3 linked regions of the Pelodiscus sinensis genome follow. The protein of the gene in region 3 interacts with the protein of the main gene of each other region in a pairwise test. Links are inferred from orthologs where the notes say so. Each region holds a gene or a part of one and is shown on either strand. Other genes may lie near its edges. The genes, in order: STAP1, MAP1LC3A and RETREG3.

What was found.
Region 1: the proteins of RETREG3 (region 3) and STAP1 interact in binary tests that used the Homo sapiens proteins (3 or more experiments, as listed by UniProt). The two-hybrid records come from large-scale screens. The link is inferred for Pelodiscus sinensis from reciprocal best matches to the Homo sapiens genes RETREG3 and STAP1.
Region 2: the proteins of RETREG3 (region 3) and MAP1LC3A interact in binary tests that used the Homo sapiens proteins (3 or more experiments, as listed by UniProt). The link is inferred for Pelodiscus sinensis from reciprocal best matches to the Homo sapiens genes RETREG3 and MAP1LC3A.

The regions. Positions count from the first base shown.
Region 1 is NC_134715.1:4,113,294-4,120,307, forward strand, and holds the start of STAP1 (signal-transducing adaptor protein 1), read left to right. Parts: upstream 1-3,921; 5' UTR 3,922-4,188; coding exon 4,189-4,311; intron 4,312-7,014. UniProt on the Homo sapiens protein: In BCR signaling, appears to function as a docking protein acting downstream of TEC and participates in a positive feedback loop by increasing the activity of TEC.
Region 2 is NC_134728.1:35,701,206-35,708,409, forward strand, and holds the start of MAP1LC3A (microtubule-associated protein 1 light chain 3 alpha), read left to right. Parts: upstream 1-4,171; 5' UTR 4,172-4,307; coding exon 4,308-4,347; intron 4,348-7,204. UniProt on the Homo sapiens protein: Ubiquitin-like modifier involved in formation of autophagosomal vacuoles (autophagosomes). While LC3s are involved in elongation of the phagophore membrane, the GABARAP/GATE-16 subfamily is essential for a later stage in autophagosome maturation.
Region 3 is NC_134739.1:8,830,867-8,838,169, forward strand, and holds the start of RETREG3 (reticulophagy regulator 3), read left to right. Parts: upstream 1-4,229; 5' UTR 4,230-4,344; coding exon 4,345-4,523; intron 4,524-7,303. Other genes in the region: TUBG1 (tubulin gamma-1 chain), read right to left, coding at 1,315-1,383, 1,667-1,834, 3,427-3,539, 3,905-4,037. UniProt on the Homo sapiens protein: Endoplasmic reticulum (ER)-anchored autophagy regulator which exists in an inactive state under basal conditions but is activated following cellular stress.

The sequences.
Region 1 (7,014 bases), on a different chromosome or scaffold from region 3:
AACCCACTTCCTCAGATGAATGGGTTTTACCAATGAAAGCTCATAATTCTCTATATATTTTTGTCAGTCTCTAAGGTGCCACAGGACCACTTGTTTTTAAGGTTACAGGCTAACACAGCTACCCCTGAGAGGCCTCAAACATTTTACTTTTCGTATCCCAGAAACCTGTATCTGCCTTCACTTAAAAGCGTATGTTATAATGGGATTTGCATACGTAGCTGTCCAGAGAGACATGGCAAATATTTCAAAATAAAAACAAAGTCTAATTTCAAATCTTAGCTCGGAAAGGCTCAACTTTTTGTCTGAGGCCAGAGCAGCTCCTTGGAGTCCTGCCAGCAGCCAAAAATAGCTGGAGTTCAGTGTCACTGTTGTGCTAGCCCTGGCCTGCCTTCTAAACTGGAGTTTAAAGGGCTCAGCAGAGCCATTATAGCGAGTTCAGTGCCATCCAAAAAAAGACGGTGACCTGGTCCATAAAAACCTTTCGAAACTGTAGTTCTTAGAGGTGAGTTGCACATATCTATTCCCATCAGGTGTGTGCACCCACCCATGCACAGTTGCCAGTAGATTTTTCCCCTAGCAGCTAGCCATAGGGTTAGGTGCCTCCAAGAATGGCACCAATACGGCGCATTGCCAGCAGATCCAGAGAAGTGATTATTCCCCTTTATTCGGCTCTGGTGAGGCCACATCTGGAGTATTGTGTCCAGTTCTGGGCCCCCCACTATAGAAAGGATGTGGACACACATGAAGACAATCCCAGTGTTCTCTCCCGGAGGCGTTTGCTTTGGAGGATCTGCACCAGGCTGCCAGCGAAGTCCATCTTGACGACCTCTGCCGGCGCCCAGAATCTGGTGACCTGACTGCTCCCCAAGTCCGAGACGTGTCGACGTCCTGCAGGTGAGCGGTGCTGGAATGTTCCCTGCGATGGGGGTGATGCCGCTGTGGTGAAGCGGGATGGATGGGTCCTGAGGCAGGCATGCCCCTAGGACTGGGTGCCGCCGGGGCTGGTGTGAGCAGCACCAGGAACGACAGGATCTGCTGCGCAGCCTGGAGAGCTTTGGGCGCCGATGACTCCTGAAGCAGACAGAGTCTCTCTTCTGCGTCCCGGCCGGGAATGGGATGGGCTGCACCGCTGGGGCCCGTCTTTCCAAACAGGGAGCCCAACACGGGTCTTAGCCTGTCCTCCCCCTTACAGGGAGCGGGAGACCAGTGCCTACCTGCCTTACTGGGTGTCTTGGCCGCAACTACAGGTGGGGCTCAGTGCTGGGCGCTGGCGCCAGCACCAATGCCACCATGGTGGGTGCTGAGTGGGACTGCTGCTCTGTGCTGGAGTGAGCGCCGACTCCATCAGCAGTGCCCGAAGTCTGATTTCTCGCTCCTCCTTAGTCCTCCACTTAGGGTTTACAGATGCAACACTTGATGCTCTGAACAAAACCCAAGCAACACTATAGAGCAGTGAACAATCTGTGCACCAGCATGGGGGACAAGAAAAAACAGAGGGTGGGGGAAGCACATATCACGCCATGAGGACGCCACTCTAAGGATCACCAGAATCGTTCCCCTACAGATACTGCTGAGAGAAAAACATCTGGGACTGGCACATGTGGCCAGCACACACACACCTAAAATGGAATGGACATGAGTATGCATGCCAAAAAATTCTGTGCTAGTGATATTTCCTGGTAAATATTTTTGTTGCCTTTATGGTACCTTTGCTCCATTGGCGTGGTGTAAAAGAACCATAGTGCAAGACAATATAGATTAGCATCTTAACAGAGGTTTTTTTTGGGGGGGGGGAAGTATCTTCTAGAGGCAGATGTCTCAAGTGAAAAATCTTAAGTTTTATGAAAATGTGAAACAATAGTGCAGAGGTGCCTGCAATTTATTTAGGGTTTCTTCAGTTGTGGTTTTGCTTAGTTTATTAAAAAACACAAAGTCACGAGGTTCTTTCACTGCGAAAATGATCATTTCCGCTAGGGAAGGTATCATGGATGACGTTTCATCAAAGATGACACATCTCGAAAGAAAGGGAAACTTTGAACAGGTCTAAATATCACCTCTGAAATGGTTCAAAATATCCTACAGTTTGTGTGTTTAAAAAAAAATCATAAAAAAGCCAGATGAAAAATTCAAAGGGAAAGCTGTCTCTCACACTGTTAAAGCGACAAGGAGTCCTGTAGCACCTTATAGACTAACAGATGTATTGGAGCATAATCTGTTAGTCTATAAGGTGCAACAGGACTCCTTGTCACTTTTGCAGATCCAGACTAACACGGCTACCCCTCTGATACTTCACACACTGTTACAGAACTGAGAAGGCAACTCACTGAGAACAGTCACTTCAAAACAAAACCCAAAAAGTAATTGAAAAGAGAAACATTATTTATTTAGAAATAGTTAAAAGGTTTACAAATCCTTTCTGTTTAAACAAGCAAGCTATTTAAACAGAGAGTTCCTGCTTACAGAAACATCGTAGAGTGATATGCAATAATCATCACATCTCTGTAACAAAAAGTGTTACTATATTAAAGAGTGAGAAACTGAATATGTGACATGCTGTTTCCGGTGATTTTGTTTAAAAGAAGCGTTCTTATAAGAGTTAATAAAGAGAGGAACTGATTCTCCAACATCCTCCACTTTAATGTAGTGATTCACATCCCTACAGTGTGAGTTCCATTCTGATTTACTAGTCTTTTACACTCGTTTTGCATTCATGTATGTGCGCGCGCGCACACACACACACACACTGTAGCAGAGTGGTGAGACAAGTCTATTATTATTTAGAGAGTAATGCTTTAGACCTCAAGGGTCTACCTCTGAGTTGAAATATAAAATCTTTTGGGGTCAACACCTTCAACAAATCATGCTGTAATCTATCAAAATATAATTAAAAAGCAACCCTTTTTATTACATGTTGATTTCTGTTTTGAACTCAAGGTGGTTTTAGATTGTGCTGGCTTTCTAAGGCTGAACCTACAGTAGAGGCCTTCTTCGGCTATTGAATGTCAGAAAACTTGCCCCATTGCTGAATTTCCCCAGTAGAGTCGAGTTCTGCCATTTTACAACAAAAATATGCCGAAAGTAGCACAATTAGAAAAAATCTGTCAACTCAAATTCTTACAAAAGAATTGCTTGCAGACTAAAAATAGAGTTTTTTACTTTTATATATTTCTGGGAAGGACCAGATTTTCAGTTATCTTTGCCTAGTAATTGCAGAGTCTAAAAATTGCCTTGCAAGAAGGAAAGGTCACATATATTAAAGCTCTGTTGGATCTGCGTGAACGTTGCAGAGAAACAGAAAAGGAGCCGTGAAGGTAACCCACAAAAATAAGGGGGGGAAATGTGTTCCTTTTTCTAGAGCAGGCCTTCAAATATTGTTCCCCTTTTTCTAGAGCAGGCCTTCAAATACTTTTTGCTTGTTTGTTACTTATGGAAATCTCATCATGCCTTGGTGTGTCTTATTTCTTGAGGCATAGTCACAAACCTGAAGATAAATTCTGGCCTTGCTGAAGTCAACATGAGTTTTGCCGTTGACTTCCATACGGCCAAAATGTCAGCCAGGGAAACGGAACTCTCCCCCACGTTGTCTGAACTTTTGGGGATGATGGATTTTCCACAAAGAAAGTTGTTCTCCTTTTTGTTGGCTGCATAACAAAAACAGCAGTTTTCACTAACAATACCTTCTCTCAATCACTCTTGTGATGTCACGGTTTCACCAGATCTCCCGCAAAAGCAATCATCAGACATTCATATTGTAAAAAGCCAAGCAGAATGTTAGAATGCCAAAACAAACATTTTGGAAGCCAATGGGCACTCTCTCTCTCTCTCTCTCTTTGCAGGTCACCTGTAAAGAGTCCAGAATCTGTGGGAGGGATCGCTAACTAAATCCAGTAATGATAATCCTGATAAGAAATGCCATAATTCTCATTTGCATGATGGAAACAATCTACCATGCTAGGAAACTTCCCTTTAATCCATTTAATCTTGTTCCTCCTCGGATTGTACAGTGAGAAAAGGGTCTGTGTGGTGTGTGTTTATTTAAAAGTAACCACTGAGACTTCCTCTTTGTACTGTCACCTTGCGTTCTCAAACCAGGGTTAGCTTTCCTTTGCCAGAGGCTGTAGATAAGCAGGCAAGAATAGACAGTGGAAAAGCACACGGGCAAGATTTAGGGGACAGAGTGGAGGCAGGATGGCAGAGCCTGGGAAAATCCCTGAACCAGCTCCTCGACGGATCTTCCAGGAGAGACAGAGGATTACTGCTCTTCCCTTGTACTTTGAAGGGTTTCTATCTATCAGATGTACACGGTACCAGGTAAGTGCATAAAAAGCTATGTTCAATTAAACTTTCCTTGAGAAACTGTTAACTCATTAGAGGTCTGTTCCTTAGGTCTGATCTGCACCTCAACTTGCACTGAAATAATTAAACTTCTTTGAATTCTTACCTTTCCTTATGGCAGTGATGGCTGGCCTCTTGTGGACACTTACTTCAGAATAAAAGTGTCCCAGGAGAATTTGATTAAGATCAATTATTTACCAATTTAAGCAAAATCAAAATAGGATACTCTTAATCTGAAGTATCCATCCACACACAGACTTAAATGAAATCACAAAATCTGTTTTAATTCACACCTTTAAATATTTCAGTGAAAGTTTGTACATAAACAAGACCTGGCTGTTGCATCAGAAAGTAATATTTCCCGTACTTGAAACTACTTCTTTTGCTTTCAGATTTTAGTTATATATATTCAACTAAATATAATGTTTAATAAAATAATATAAATATAAAATGTAACATAATATTCTCCATTTATAGACATGCATTTCCTTTACTGTAGACAATGGTATAACAAACCGAAAGATAGAGAAAGATGTTGATTTCTGAAGCTGAAGTTTATTTAAGGTTTGCCAGTGTACTCTTAAACGATTCCAGCATATTCCATACATGTGCATAATCAAAACAACTGCCTTACACACCACAATAATTATTCAGTACTCTATTAAATTTTTTTTTATAATCTACAGGAAAGTTGATTGAGACAGATTTCAGAGCTGCAACACTTCAATTACATTTTAAGCCACCAGAGCAAAATTTGATTTGTTTCCCTTGTTCTCAACTATCCGATACTAGTCTTAATCCTGAAATTCTCAGTGAGATAGCATTTTAAATGAGCGTGATGATGACTTACTATAATTAACAATATATAATGCCTAACCGATTGAGCATATATTTATGGACTGTTTTGGAAGCACAGTCGAGTAATGAGGTAGGATAATCATTTAGGCCCTGACCTTGATTTTTTATGCATGCATGAACATGATTACAGGTTAAACCTTGCTAGTCTGGCACTCTCTGGTCCAGCAACATCCGTGGTCCGGCATGATTTTAGTGAGCAGGATTTCCACTTATCACGGGTGTGGCCAAGTTTCCTGCAGTCCCATAAAGTTTGTTTACAGCCCCCAGTCCTGGCTCTCAGGGTTCTGGGCTGTTACTTAGCTTTCATTTACCCCTAAATGTCTCCTAAGAGCCCAGCAAGCAGTGGACGAGTTGGGAATGCTGCTGGACAACATTGACTTCCTGTGGTTAGGCAAATTCTCTGGTTCAGCACCAGTCAAGTCCTAAAGGTGCTAGACTAGAGAGGTTCAACCTGTATTAAGTATTTACAGATCAGGTCCTTGAACATGCGCTGACTGCTTTTTAGTACCGATTTTTTTATTTCAGTTCTTGATAGAGATAATTACATTTAATATTACAAAACAATTTCCATTATAATCCTCCTTTTTCCCACCCAGTCATAGCTGTAAGAGATTGAACATTTTCTGTGCTTGATCACTGCTCAGATATGAACTTTTTCATAAATAAGTTTACCTTTAGACTTTTGCTTCTTGCTTTTTTTTTTTTTTTTTAAGTATGGTGGGGGGAAGGAGATACACTTATCTCACAATGAGGAAAGCAACTACCACCATTTTTTTTCTCCCTACGATACAGAAAGAGGAAGTTTAGAACAGCAGGATTTTTGAACATCACTATTAATGCTATATCCTAGCATGGCAGATTGGTTGAAGTTTCATCATGCTGCATCTCAGTCCAGAAATAAATCAGCAGTTATTTTTCAGGTTTCTCCCATATGTGAAATCATTTAAAACCTACTCTCTTTCCAGAGTCACTAGCTCACATACCAGCAGTTGAGTGCCTGACACCAAGATCGTACAGGCAACAGATAATGTTTCAGCACTGCAGCAGGATTACCTGGGGCACCACGAAAGCTTGTAGTGAGATGAGTAATTTCAGAAACGGGAGGGGTCCGATATACAGCTGCATTTCCTCCCAAGCTTTTAATAATAGGAACACCTCAGGGGCTACCATTCAAGGCTAGGTCAGACATGTCCAGGAGCAGTGCGGGTGTAACAGTGAATCTTACCAAACTTCTGGTTTTGCCGAGGTTTCCAATCCACCTGTATCCTTCTTATCTCTTTATTCTTCTCTTAACTTAGGCCTCACCCTGCCAAGAGAGTCACATAGGACCCATATGGATTCCTTTTGGGGAGCAGGGCTTTCAACCATGCGTTCTCTAGGGCATGGAGTCAGTCTGTGTCTGTATTTTAAAGCATGTTTAGGATACCATATAATTAATGATTTGACTATCTTAGCATTGTTTCGCCTGTGACCAGAAAAGATCCGTTTTCCTAGTGTTATTTCAGCCGGAGTGGGGATTGCTGGTTGTGGAACGTGTGTGGTAGTGAAAGGAATCAAATAAAAATAAACCATTGACAAAATATGTCCTGAGGTTATTGCAGATGGTCCCAGGCAGATTTGGATCGGGCCCGCTTTAGCCCAGCGGGCTGGCTCCCTGTCGGTAGCGGCCCCACACACCATTCAAAGCAGCTGGCTGCTGGGGCCAACATGTGTGTCTCTGTGTGGCACAGCCCTTGGAGGAAAGGGGTCTCTGCCCCACACCCCCAGCACTACCCTTGCGGCCTCCCATTGACTGGAAACCGGCCAATTGGAGCAGCAGGG
Region 2 (7,204 bases), on a different chromosome or scaffold from region 3:
GAGGTCTGAGGCGGGGGGGGATGGAGGGGGAAGTGGAGGTCTGAGGCGGGGGGGATGGAGGGGGAAGTGGAGGTCTGAGGCGGGGGGGCTATGGAGGGGGAAGTGGAGGTCTGAGGCGGGGGGGGATGGAGGGGGAAGTGGAGGTCTGAGGCGGGGGGGATGGAGGGGGAAGTGGAGGTCTGAGGCGGGGGGGCTATGGAGGGGGAAGTGGAGGTCTGAGGCGGGGGGATGGAGGGGGAAGTGGAGGTCTGAGGCGGGGGGGCTATGGAGGGGGAAGTGGAGGTCTGAGGCGGGGGGATGGAGGGGGAAGTGGAGGTCTGAGGCGGGGGGGCAATGGAGGGGGAAGTGGAGGTCTGAGGCGGGGGGATGGAGGGGGAAGTGGAGGTCTGAGGCGGGGGGGCTATGGAGGGGGAAGTGGAGGTCTGAGGCGGGGGGGCTATGGAGGGGGAAGTGGAGGCCTGAGGCGGTGGGGGCGATGGAGGGGGAAGTGGAGGTCTGAGGCGGGGGGGCTATGGAGGGGGAAGTGGAGGTCTGAGGCGGGGGGGCGATGGAGGGGGAAGTGGAGGCGGGTGGGGCTATGGAGGGGAAAGTGGAGGTCTGAGGCGGGGGGGGCGATGGAGGGGGAAGTGGAGGTGTGAGGCGGGGGGCTATGGAGGGGAAAGTGGAGGTCTGAGGCGGGGGGGCTATGGAGGGGGAAGTGGAGGTGTGAGGCGGGGGGGCTATGGAGGGGGAAGTGGAGGTGTGAGGCGGGGGGGCTATGGAGGGGGAAGTGGAGGTGTGAGGCGGGGGGGCTATGGAGGGGGAAGTGGAGGTCTGAGGCGGGGGGGCTATGGAGGGGGAAGTGGAGGTCTGAGGCGGGGGGGATGGAGGGGGAAGTGGAGGTCTGAGGCGGGGGGGATGGAGGGGAAAGTGGAGGTCTGAGGCGGGGGGGCTATGGAGGGGGAAGTGGAGGTCTGAGGCGGGGGGGCGATGGAGGGGGAAGTGGAGGTCGGAGGCGGGGGGGCGATGGAGGGGGAAGTGGAGGTCGGAGGCGGGGGGGATGGAGGGGGAAGTGGAGGTCTGAGGCGCGGGGGGATGGAGGGGGAAGTGGAGGTCTGAGGCGGGGGGGCTATGGAGGGGGAAGTGGAGGTCTGAGGCGGGGGGGCTATGGAGGGGGAAGTGGAGGTCTGAGGCAGGGGGGCTATGGAGGGGGAAGTGGAGGTCTGAGGCGGAGGGGCTATGGAGGGGGAAGTGGAGGTCTGAGGCGGGGGGGCTATGGAGGGGGAAGTGGAGGTCTGAGGCGGGGGGGCGATGGAGGGGGAAGTGGAGGTCTGAGGCGGGGAGGGGGATGGAGGGGGAAGTGGAGGCCTGAGGCGGGGGGGCGATGGAGGGGGAAGTGGAGGCGGGGGGGCTATGGAGGGGGAAGTGGAGGTCTGAGGCGGGGGGGCTATGGAGGGGGAAGTGGAGGTCTGAGGCGGGGGGGGCTATGGAGGGGGAAGTGGAGGCCTGAGGCGGGGGGGCGATGGAGGGGGAAGTGAAGGTCTGAGGCGGGGGGGCGATGGAGGGGGAAGTGGAGGTCTGAGGCGGGGGGGGCTATGGAGGGGGAAGTGGAGGTCTGAGGCGGGGGGGCGATGGAGGGGGAAGTGGAGGTCTGAGGCGGGGGGGCTATGGAGGGGGAAGTGGAGGTCTGAGGCGGGGGGGATGGAGGGGGAAGTGGAGGTCTGAGGCGGGGGGGCTATGGAGGGGGAAGTGGAGGTCTGAGGCGGGGGGGGCTATGGAGGGAGAAGTGGAGGCCTGAGGCGGGGAGGGGGATGGAGGGGAAAGTGGAGGTGTGAGGCGGGGGGGCTATGGAGGGGGAAGTGGAGGTCTGAGGCGGGGGGGCGATGGAGGGGGAAGTGGAGGCCTGAGGCGGGGAGGGGGATGGAGGGGAAAGTGGAGGTGTGAGGCGGGGGGGCTATGGAGGGGGAAGTGGAGGTCTGAGGCGGGGGGGCGATGGAGGGGGAAGTGGAGGTCTGAGGCGGGGGGGCTATGGAGGGGGAAGTGGAGGTCTGAGGCGGGGGGGCGATGGAGGGGGAAGTGGAGGCCTGAGGCGGGGGGGCGATGGAGGGGGAAGTGGAGGCCTGAGGCGGGGAGGGGGATGGAGGGGAAAGTGGAGGTGTGAGGCGGGGGGGCTATGGAGGGGGAAGTGGAGGCCTGAGGCGGGGAGGGGGATGGAGGGGAAAGTGGAGGTGTGAGGCGGGGGGGCTATGGAGGGGGAAGTGGAGGCCTGAGGCGGGGGGATGGAGGGGGAAGTGGAGGCCTGAGGCGGGGGGGCTATGGAGGGGGAAGTGGAGGTCTGAGGCGGGGGGGCTATGGAGGGGGAAGTGGAGGTCTGAGGCGGGGGGGATGGAGGGGGAAGTGGAGGTCTGAGGCGGGGGGGATGGAGGGGGAAGTGGAGGTCTGAGGCGGGGGGGCTATGGAGGGGGAAGTGGAGGTCTGAGGCGGGGGGGCTATGGAGGGGGAAGTGGAGGCCTGAGGCAGGGAGGGGGATGGAGGGGAAAGTGGAGGTGTGAGGCGGGGGGGCTATGGAGGGGGAAGTGGAGGCCTGAGGCGGGGGGGCTATGGAGGGGGAAATGGAGGTCTGAGGCGGGGGGGGATGGAGGGGGAAGTGGAGGTCTGAGGCGGCCGGGGGGGGATGTAGGGGGAAGTGGAGGTCTGAGGCGGGGGGGGGCGATGGAGGGGGAAGTGGAGGTCTGAGGCGGGGGCGATGGAGGGGGAAGTGGAGGTCTGAGGCGGGGGCGATGGAGGGGGAAGTGGAGGTCTGAGGCGGGGGGGGCGATGGAGGGGGAAGTGGAGGCGGGGGGGCTATGGAGGGGGAAGTGGAGGTCTGAGGCGGGGGGGCGATGGAGGGGGAAGTGGAGGCGGGGGGGCTATGGAGGGGGAAGTGGAGGTCTGAGGCGGGGGGGGCGATGGAGGGGGAAGTGGAGGTCTGAGGCGGGGGCGATGGAGGGGGAAGTGGAGGTCTGAGGCGGGGGCGATGGAGGGGGAAGTGGAGGTCTGAGGCGGGGGGGGCGATGGAGGGGGAAGTGGAGGCGGGGGGGCTATGGAGGGGGAAGTGGAGGCCTGAGGCGGGGGGGCGATGGAGGGGGAAGTGGAGGTCTGAGGCGGGGGCGATGGAGGGGGAAGTGGAGGTCTGAGGCGGGGGCGATGGAGGGGGAAGTGGAGGTCTGAGGCGGGGGGGGCTATGGAGGGGGAAGTGGAGGCGGGGGGGATGGAGGGGGAAGTGGAGGTCTGAGGCGGGGGGGCTATGGAGGGGGAAGTGGAGGCGGGGGGGATGGAGGGGGAAGTGGAGGTCTGAGGCGGGGGGGGCTATGGAGGGGGAAGTGGAGGTCTGAGGCGGGGGGGATGGAGGGGGAAGTGGAGGTCTGAGGCGGGGGGGCTATGGAGGGGGAAGTGGAGGTCTGAGGCGGGGGGGGGATGGAGGGGGAAGTGGAGGTCTGAGGCGGGGGGGCTATGGAGGGGGAAGTGGAGGTCTGAGGCGGGGGGGGCGATGGAGGGGGAAGTGGAGGTCTGAGGTGGGGGGGCGATGGAGGGGGAAGTGGAGGTCTGAGGCCGGGGGGGGATGGAGGGGGAAGTGGAGGTCTGAGGCGGGGGGGACGATGGAGGGGGAAGTGGAGGTCTGAGGCGGGGGAGGGGGATGGAGGGGGAAGTGGAGGTCTGAGGCGGGGGGGGCGATGGAGGGGGAAGTGGAGGTCTGAGGCGGGGGGGCTATGGAGGGGGAAGTGGAGGTCTGAGGCGGGGGGGCTATGGAGGGGGAAGTGGAGGTCTGAGGCGGGGGGGGCGATGGAGGGGGAAGTGGAGGTCTGAGGCGGGGGGGATGGAGGGGGAAGTGGAGGTCTGAGGCGGGGGGGCTATGGAGGGGGATGTGGAGGTCTGAGGCGGGGGGGCGATGGAGGGGGAAGTGGAGGTCTGAGGCGGGGGGGCGATGGAGGGGGAAGTGGAGGTCTGAGGCGGGGGGGGGGATGGAGGGGGAAGTGGAGGTCGGAGGCGGGGGGGCGATGGAGGGGGAAGTGGAGGTCTGAGGCGGGGGGGCCGAGGCTGGGGTCTCGCGGGGGAGGGCAAGCCGGGGGGCGGGGCGGGGACGAATAGGGGCGGGAACACTGCACCGGACGGGTGTCGGCCGAAAGCGCCCTGCACCTCCCCTTTAAGGGCTGGGTGGTGACGTCACCGCCGTTCGCTGGCCGCAGGCAGTTGCTGCCGGAGCCTGGGCGCCAGACGGCGGCTGAGGCGCTGAGCGGGCGGCCCGGGCACCTGCCCCAGGAGCCCCTGGTCCGAGCGGCCCCGCAGCCATGCCGTCCGACCGGCCCTTCAAGCAGCGCCGCAGCTTCGGTGAGTGCGGGGCCCGGCGGGAGGGGGCAGCGCGACCCCCCCCCCCCCATGGGGCGCTGAGCGGGACCCGCCCGCCGCGCTCCGGGGCTCTGAGGGAGGCTGCCCCTGCTCAGGCCCGCGGGGCGCCCCGTGGCGGCCAGTGGCTCGCGGGGGCTGGGCGGGGCGAGCCCCTCGCTTTGTTGGGGTTGGAGCTGAGTGGGCGGGGGGAGCCGGAGGGAATTGGCAGCCCCGCCCCGCGGTGATGTCACCCCTGCATCAAGCGAAAGGAAATGCTGGTTTGCCCCAGGAGCCTGCAGAACCCATCGGCGGGAATTAGCGGTCTTAACAGTCAGTGGGGAGCACTGCTCCTGCGGCTTTGGGATGGCACGTGACTCTTGCTACATGTCCAGTCATGTGTGTGTTTTTCTCAGCCACCTCCTCCCCCTCCCAGAGAGAGGTTGATTAAGCAAACATGGCAGGATTCTAGCCTGTCTATTTCTGATGCCCTCCAAAAGCTTCCCTTTCAATCCCAGCAGGCAGTCCGTCAAGGTGTAAGACAAGCTTTTCAAATCATGGAGAGTCTTTGGTATCTATGGTTGTGACAATTTTCTTCCACTATTTGATCTGAGGAAGTGGGTCTGGCCCACGAAAGCTCATCATCTAATAAACCATCTTGTTAGTCTTTAAAGTGCTACATAGCCCTGTCTTTTGTTTCAGCTACACCAGACTAACACGGCTACATTTCTATGGCTACATTTCTATCTCGTCTGTTGTCACTGACGTGATTGGTGAAATGTGTGAGAAGCAGTATGTTCTTTTGCTCACCATGTAATATAGGAAAGAAATCTGTGCTATAAATGAACCTGCTGTAAATACAGTCTATTGATAGTAATGGAAGGCATGCTTGGTTTTATGTCTGAGGTTAATTTAACTTCATGTAATTTAGTTTCGTATTGTTAGAAATAAGTGATAGTTTTGATCTTGTATGACCTTTTTAGGCAAATATTAATAAGATAGGCTTATATTGTATCCTGTTTTCTCCTCTAGGGGATAAATGACTAATGCAGAGCAGTAATTTTTCTTAAGTATTTTGCTTTGGGGGAAGAGAGTTAATTGCTTTATGTAAAGTTTTCATAAGCCTCCATTTATGACCGTGTATGTCCCAATGCTGATGGATAATTGGAATCCAGGAATTTTGATGATGGGCACTTAAGAATGTAGGTAATAAATACACATTGAGGCTTGGAAAACTTTAGTTTCAAGATGGGTCTGAATTGTAATTTTCAGATCCATCTTTTGCTAAGCTTATGGGAGTTGTTCTGGCTTGAATCCCATTGCTAATACATAAACAAGCTTTGGGGAGCTAGACTTACAAACATTTTGTGCAGAAATGTGTTCGGTGCAATTATGATAGTTCTGTGTATCTGCAAAAACAAATGACCTCTGTGTTTGCAGTTACACCCATGCACCTTCCTTGTGTGTGAATATGGTGGTAGTAATCGTATGTGCAGATTAATCGTACAGATTATTGTATACATTTTTAAGTATATGCTGCTCTAAATAACTGGCACAAAAGGGGAAAGGTGGTGGTGGGGGGGGGGGTTCTTACTCTGTTTAGTGTATTCCTATATATTTGAACTTAGGTCTTTGTCCTTCTGAAAACCTTACCATGTTTGTCCCTAATTGGGGACCGGTGAGTGAGTGGCTTACCATGAGCAAGAGGCCTACCTTAAATTGTTCTAGTGGATAAGGCACCTGATTGGGACCCAGGAGATTTGCATGTACCACCAAATTGTTGTGATTTCAGTGCCTCAGTTTCCCAGTTGGCAAAATAGGACTAATTTGCTTATTCCTCTTTATAAAGCATTTTGAAATTGATCAGCCACTTTTCAGCCATACAATACATTAAGCCTTTATTACCTGAGTATGTGTGCCATCCTTTCAACCCTAGTGAGATGAATAATTCCTTTCCTTTTAAAGATCCTTCTGGTATCAAAGTATTCCTTGTTCAAAATACTGTTCTTCCTAAAAATATTTTTGAAGTTCAGAAGATATAATGCTTCAAACACAAGTGTATTTCATAACCATTCACAGAAGGTGCTATGATAGTGCAGATATTTTATAGGAGGAAGAAAATTAAAAATATAGTGATAGGCAGACTCTGAAAGAAGGCTGGATCAGTGCAGAAGTCAAGAGAACAATAAACTACCATAAACATGCTTCAGAGTGGTATCCGAGTTAGTCTGTACAGGATAAACTTAAAAAACAAATAGCATGGTAACACTTTAAAGACTAACAAAACATGTATATAGATGATATCGTGAGTTTTCATGGGCACAGCCTACTTCTTCAGATAACCATAAACATGTAAGATTTGACTGGAATGTTAGTAACGCGTATTGGTGGAAGCTGATGAAACTAGGGATGTTACATTGGATTAATTGGCTAATTGATTAATCGATAAGGGTGCCTCTGCCTTTGAAGTGTAGCAACAGACACTTTAAAGGCAAAAGCGCTGCAGGGAGCATGGAGCCAGCGGGGGAACTCCAGCAGTCCCCCATTGGCCCTGTGCTCCTCACAGCATTTTAAAGTGGCAGTGCCTCATGGAGCCCAGGGTCAGCAGGATAGACCTGGGTCTGGCCCCGGGCTCCACTAGGTGCTGCTGCTTTGAAGCACCCCCTAGTCTTCTTTCTCTTTCTGATAGAGGCAGCAAGGTGTGGGGGGAAGCGACTAGTTAGTTTCATCTAGGGTTGTGAACATCTGAAGCTTCTTTTTCCTAATCCTTTTTCCATAGACAGTAATTTGTCATGCTGTAAGTACTAGAAGTTTTCCACCCCAAGTCCAGTATCAACTGTTTTTTATTTTTATTATAATAGAG
Region 3 (7,303 bases):
TAATGCCAGAGCCTAGGCCAGGCCAGATGGCAGCTGCCGCCCTCTGGCCCTGTGCCAGGAATCGCTGGGGCGCGCGGGCAGTCCCCAACACTCCGAGCGTAGCCCCACGAGGCCCGGAGAGCTGCAAACCAATCCCAGCGCTTCTGTCACAAGCACAGGGGCTCCCTTCTCGGCACCCACCGAGAACAGCGCTCCCCGCTCACAAGCCTTGCGGAGGGCCCCCTCCCCCGAGTTCAGCACTTCCCAGGAGCCACACAGACACCGGAAGGGACCCTGTTTCCCCTGAGGCCTGTTCAGTTAAACCAAATAAGCTCAGAGGTGCTCTAAGCCTCTCCCCCAGCTGCTCCTCAGTCCTCTTGCCACCTCTTATTTCCTATCACCTTTCCCCCCTCCCCCGTTGCCATGCAACCGCCAGATGTAAACAGCAGGGGGCTCTGTCTGCTCAGGGGTGAAAGTGAAACAGGCGCAAGCCCAGATGGGATCCCATGGCTGGACGGAGAGTCCCTCCTTCCACAGCATCACTGATAGCAGCAGAAGGGTCAGAGGGCCAGGCCTGCACATGGAATCTGACAGGCTCAAGCCCTTTGAAACCAGCTGCCACGAGCTCTTCAGAGCCGATTCCGAGGCACACAAAGCCCTCTTGAGAACACCTGCAGGCTGCCACTCCCGGCACCAAACTAAACACCCTTCCGCCTGCGACGCCTTGACAGAGCAGGCAGGTGCCACTTCAGCAGCGCTCTTCTTGGAGCAGGAGAGTCATTGGAGGGCAGCCTGGAAAGATGGGTACCAATAGGAGCGGACAGCACAGGACAGCACGGGGCTAGCATGTTCTCCCTTTGGAAGCAGAGAGGGGAGCTATTCAGGCCAATACTAAAGGAGACAAGCAGGAGGAATGGGATGAACTGAAGAAAAGGTAAATGGAGGCCTTCCTAGTTGTGAGTCCTGGTAAGGGCCCATCATCTGCTCTGGGAAGAGCCTGCTGCTGGTGCTCTTTGTAACTGGATTTGGAAAATGTTCAGTAAGGAACACAGCAGGGACAACTCCTGCCTGTCTCAGGTGGGCCCGGGGTGAAAGGGAAGGTTGAGAGGATGTGGCAGAGATGAGAAAGGCCTCCTGCCTAGGATTAACCCTTTCCATGTGTCTGTTGCCTAGCATCCAGATTCCTGACCCCCAAAGATCTTCAACCTGCCAGGCTTCCCTACAGACCTTGCCTCCACGTGGACAACACAGCAGAAACCTTAGGGTCGGGCTTGCCCTCCGAAAATAGCAGCCTGGCTCAGAAAACAACGGACGAGGGAATCCTCATTTCCTTACCTCTAGGCTGTCGCTCCCATCAGCCTCTCTGTCTATGATGTCAAAGATATCTTCATGGATTTTTTCGCCCTAGCGAGATAAAACCAAAGCAAAGGTATCGTTCATTGATTTTCCCCAGGGGCAGCTGCAAGGAGCCACTTCCCAGACACATTGCAAAGCCAAATCAGCTGAGAGACGAGGCTTCCAGCCATGCCGGCAGACAGTTGGCTGCGAGCTGTCACCTGCAAATCACCGCTGAAAGGTGCCACAGCAATCACATGCCAGCACCTGCTGGGAGACCAGACATCCCAGACAACATCTCCAGCCCAGGGATCGGAGTTACAGTTGCACGGGCCAGTTCCAGCCCTGTTACCTGGGAGAAGCCGCTGGCCCAGTTGTTCCCAGCCCCACCACCATGCTCAGACAAGTAGATGTTTTCTGGGTTGTACAGGTTGGCGTAGGGGGAGTTCAGGATGGAATGGATCACTCGGGGCTCAAGGTCCAGCAGCACAGCTCGGGGGATGTAATGTTCGTCATCCGCCTGCACAGAGAAGGACAAGAGGGCCTAGAATCAAAACGAGGCACAATTCCAGACTGTGACAGAGGGTGCCACCCACTGGTGAGAGAACAGTATAACACACCTTTACTGTGAGAGACTGTACAGGAACTGCATTGGCTGTACTGTGGGAGCCCCTAGTAGCCCAGTCATGTTGGGCATCACGGAATAAAGACATGGGCCTGACCCAAACAGCTCCCAACCAGAGTAAATATGGAACAAATATGAACTGCTCCTTTGGTCCCCAGCGCTCTACACCCATCGTCCTCTACAGCACATCAGGCTCTACGCCGGGGTGGGGAACCATTGGCCTAATCTTTTTCCCTCCAGGTGCAGATTTTTTCCATCCATGTGCAAAATACATTTTGATGTGCACCAGGGCATGTGCAAACATACACCACCAGTAGAAACACAATACTAGCTGTGGGTGTTCTGCTAATCAGCTGGGAGGCATTGGAATTGCTCCTGAGTGGCTGCACAAGCACCCAGCTTACAAGAAGCACTGCACTGACCCATTGGGTGCGAGACGAGGCAGTGGATCGGGGCACTTCTCTGATGCAGTTCTGTTTGGCGGGGGGGGGGGGGGGGGGGAGAAGCACCGGTGGCTTCATGTTGCCCTGTGCTCGCAGGCAGCACCCCATGATTCTTGGCCAATGGAAGTGGCAGGGGAAAAGCCTGTAGGAAAACACAGGGACAGGCTTCCCTGCCCTGCTGTTCCCCCAGGCGAGGGGGAGGGGAAACAGCAGCATGCAGATCCACTTCCTCCCTGCACAAGGCAGAGCTGATCATACAGGGGTTTTAACGCTGGCTCCCTGCTACTCTCCACTGCAGCAGGGAGCTGGTGCGCCAGTTACACAGTCTCCAAGCCTTGGCACCAGTGCCAGCTCACCCCACTGCAAGGGTAAGCTCCAAACCTTATCACAGGCCAAATCGGGGCAGGATCCGGCCTGTAGGCCATAGGTTCCCCATCCCTGCCCTAGGCCATGACAACATGCTGTTAAGCAGTAGATCTTGGTAGAGAAACCAATGACGTAAATGAGCTTTGGGCTGGACTGAGTTCATCAGCCCCTTTTCATAATTCAAATTTGAATTGCTGGATAGACAAAATCCCCAGCGTGTCCTCAGCAGGAGGAGTTAGAGGTGGGGTTTGTTCTCATCAGAGGAGATAAGAACCATCAAGAGGGAAGGGTTTTGACTAGGAGCAGACTTTGTGGACTGACATAACAACTGAATCTCACTACTGCTGACCCCACAAGCCAGCCTGGGCTCCAGCCAGAGAGAACAGAGAAGAAATGTGGACCAGAAACTCTTGAGTAGGATCCCCCCTGGGCTCTTGGAGGCTTTGGGAGATACCAGCATTATGCCAACAGGGGGCTGGCAGTGCCAGACTTCCAGAGCTTCATCTCTGTGGCGGAGTGATGCTTTTGTTTTGCAAGAGGAGGCTCAGAGGGGAAGCCCTAGGAAAAGGGCATCTGGCCGAGCCTGGGCTGGATCTCAGCGATGGACTCCGGCGGCGGGGAGGAGCAGAGCTCTCTGGAGCATGCAGCGCAGAGCCCTGGTGGGACGCCCCCCCTTACCTGGTAGAAGAAGACGTCTTTGCGGTCGGTACCCTCGGTGGCGAACTCCTCAACGATGCCCTCGGGGCTGATGCCGTGCTCAGCACACAGCTGCTTCCAGAACTCGAACCCGACTGCAGGAGAGAGCGGCCAGAGCTCAGCCTGGGGGAGGGGAGATGAAAGCCCCCGCAGCACGCCCCCAGCCAGCCAGCCCAGGAGGGGGACAGGCCTGGCCCTACTCTGTGCCTCAGTTTCCCAGAGACCCCCCCAAAGCCCCGCCCACAAGCACAGGTCCCACGCCGGGATAGGTCCCTCCCCCCTCACAAGCCCCGCCCACAAGCACAGGCCCTGCCCCGTACAAAGGCCCGCGCCGGGATAGGCCCCTCCCCCTCACAAAGCCCCGCCCACAAGCACAGGTCCCGCCCCGTACAAAGCCCCGCGCCGGGATAGGCCCCTCCCCCTCACAAGCCCCGCCCACAAGCACAGGCCCCGCCCTCACTCTGGTTGCCGCACTGGCCCAGCTGCAGGGTGATAATCTCTCGTGGCATCTCGGCCGCTGCGCCCCGACCCGGCTCCTCGTTGCACCGGTCGCCTTCGCGTCCTCCCGCCCGGCGCCCAGCGGAACTGAGCATGCGCGGGATGCGCTTCCGGGTCAACCAGCGCGCTAGGCCGGCCCCTAAACATCGCCCTGGCAACGTGCATCGGAAGGAGGGAAAAAAACCTGCGCGCGCACAAAAAAACCACCCAACCACACCCCACCTCCCCGTGCGCATGCGCAGTTAGGAAGGCGCCCTTCCGTACAGGAAGATGGCCGCGCCCTGAGTGTCCCGCCATGCCGCGGGCGGCGGTTGGTCACCCCGCTTGGGGGCCGGGCTGACCCGGCGCGGCGGCGTGACGTGCCGACGCGGAGCGGATGTTGATCCCCGGGCGGGGGAAGCGATGGCGGCGGCGGCGGCCGGGCCCGGCGAGCGGGAGCGGCGGGTGCGGGCGCTGAGCGCCGCCCTGCAGGCCCGGCTGGGGCCCTACGAGCCGCTGCTGAGCGCGCTGCAGGCGGCGCTGGTCTGGGAGCGGCCGGGCCGCAGCGCGCTGGGCTGGGCGGGCGCGCACGGCGCCTTCTGGTGAGCGAGCGGGGGAGGGGCGCGCCCGGGGGGGGGGGGCTCCTCCGCCGCTTCCGGGCTGCGGGCGAGCTCCGGGGCGCGTCCAGTCTGCTCGTGCTGGGCTTGCCCCGTGTCCTCCGCTAGCGCCCGGCGAGAGCTCGGGGGAGGGGGGGGGAGATGTTTTGCAACAGCGTCTCGGTTGCGCGCCCTGCGGGGGGGGGGGAGTGTTTGACTTATGGGGGAGGCGACACCAGTTGCATCGCCTCTGTCGAGAAGGGAGGAGCTCTGCAGGGCTCGCTCCCGGGGGCCGGCACGAGTCCCCCGGCTCCGCTCCGGCACCGCTGCGGCTCTGCCTTTGAAAGGTACTAAGAACTGCCTGGCTCTGTTTAAAAGCCGGCGCCGCCGCAGCCCGGAACCAGTATGAGCCAGGACTGCTCGGTCCCGGCTCGTGCCAAGTTCAGCAGCCCCTGTTCACAGTGGCCTTCAACTCCCTGAAGGGAGGTTCCAAAGAGGCTGGAGTGAGGCTGTTCTCAGTGGTGGCAGATGCAGAACAAGGAGCAATGGTCTCAAGTTGTGGTGGGAGAGGGCCAGGTTGGATATTAGGAAAAACTATTTCACTAGGAGGGTGGTGAAGCACTGGGATGGGTTCCCTAGGGAAGTAGTGGAGTCTCCATCCCTAGAGGTGTTTGTCTCGGCTTGACAAAGCCCTGGCCAGGTTGATTTAGTTTGAATTGGACCTGCCTAGAGCAGGGGGCTGGACTTGATGACCTTCTGAGGTCTCTTCCAATTCTATGATTCTAGCCTGGACTACCGTGAACAGAAGCTGCTTTGAGGATGCACACCCCTTTCCCTGCTACTACTGCCTCTGATAGAGGCAGCAGTGGGCGGGGCGTGGGGGGAGCAGGTGGCACCTCAGCAAAGATGCTACAGGGGAAAACAGCTTTTAAGCCAGTTCCCCCTAGCCGCTCCTGTCCCCTTTCCCCAATACAGATGGAGCAAGGGGGGAGCGAGTATTTGAATACTCCGCTCAACTGCTTGCTTACATCCCTCATGGGCATGAGCTAAATGTTCCTGGGAAACCAACATACAATTCTGTGTGGAATATTTATTGTCTAAGGGGTTTGTAGATAGGATTAATTCTGAGTGAGAGTAGTTTTTTTAGTGACTGACTAGGTGTAGGACATTAATGTCCTGTTGATACATTTTTTTGATGTGTAGCAGAGGGATAGCCATGTTAGTCTGTATCCACAAAAACACAAGGAGTCCTGTGGCCCCTTAGAGGACTAACAGATTTATTTGGGCATAAGCTTTTGTGGGCAAAAATACAGGCAGTCCCCGAGTTACGCGGATCCGACTTACGTCGGATCTGCAGTTACAAACGGGGCCCGTCTCCCTGGTCTCCAGCAGACCAGGGAGAGGAAGCAAAGCAGCAGAGCACGCGGGCAGCGGGCAGCGGACAGCCCAGATGCGTCTGGGCTGTCCGCTGCCTGTGTGCTCCGCAGCTTTGCTCTGCTTTGCTCCCCGTCTCCCTGGTCTGCAGACCAGGGGGACGGGGAGCAAAGCGGTGGAACATGCGGGCAGCTGACAGCCCAGATGTGGTCTGTCAGCAAGCTGGTAGCATCTGTTGCCTTGAGTGGATTCTCATGACATGAGTAAACAGGTCATGTGAAGTTCTAGAGTCTTTGTCAGTTGGTTAGTCCATGTAAATAGCCATTTTCTCTTCTCCCACAAGGAAGTGCATTGATCTTTCTCCTGCAGAGAAATATTAGCGTTTGAGCTGTTCTAATAAAGATGTGTGTGATTATTTTGGTTCAGTAGTGTGTTTCTGGCAGTCCATGGCTGCATGGAACTATTTATTTAACAGGCCCCTGTGCCGAAAATGGATGTTCAAGTGTCTTTCAGTAAACTTATTCTGGTGCTGTTAAATGGTTGCAGCTAGTAATTCAAGTTTAGGTTTGTCGTATGTAAGCATGTGCTACCAAAAAGAATAGCTGCTAACCTACAGCTTGAGTGTAAAACATAATGGTGAGAATTCTCTTCTGCCAAGTCTAAACATAAAAAGTTTGCAAGATAGTAGAACTGCAAGGTTACCAACCAGTCCTTTGTTGTGAGTTCTGTATCTCTAGTTTGAAAGTCAGGAGTGACTGGTAGGCTAGTTTTGACTTCATCAGTTGCAATATGTTTTTGTAACTCTGTCCCATGGTCTTCCAATAGCCTCATGCAGCTGGGGGTAGCTGACTTAAAACAAATGAGAAAGTTTGAGTGGTTGTAACACTGCTCTCTCACTCATTTCCCTCTCCTCCCTGGGGATTGTCTGCATCTTTCTGACTGCAAGAGAATGATGTGTTCCAAAGGGAGTCTGAGCCAATGATACTACTTAGCCAAAGAGGATTCTTGTCTGGGTAACTACAAGTGCAGATACTACTTTCAGGGGACTGAGCATGGGGTGGTGGGAGAACAGCCCTTCGTGGAGAAATTGACTAAAGTGGAACTAGTGGGTCTGACCCTTCATCTACTAGATATTTTAGAGAGTTTGTCTCTGTTCAAGAACTCCTCCTAAATGGTAAGAGCTAGGATCACCAAATTCGGTAGGCAGCTTCCTCTGATCATAACTTTAAAGCAATGTAAGGGTTTGGTTGTGCCAGGAAAATGGGATGGGCGTGGAATGGCATTTCTTCTCTTAAAACCGTACCAAAAAGAGACAACGTCACTAGGCAGGTAAAAGGGGCTGGATGCCCTCCTCTCTTCCCCCCAGGTGCCCTTGAATGAGGACACTGCTGGCTGTTCCCCTTCATCAGGGA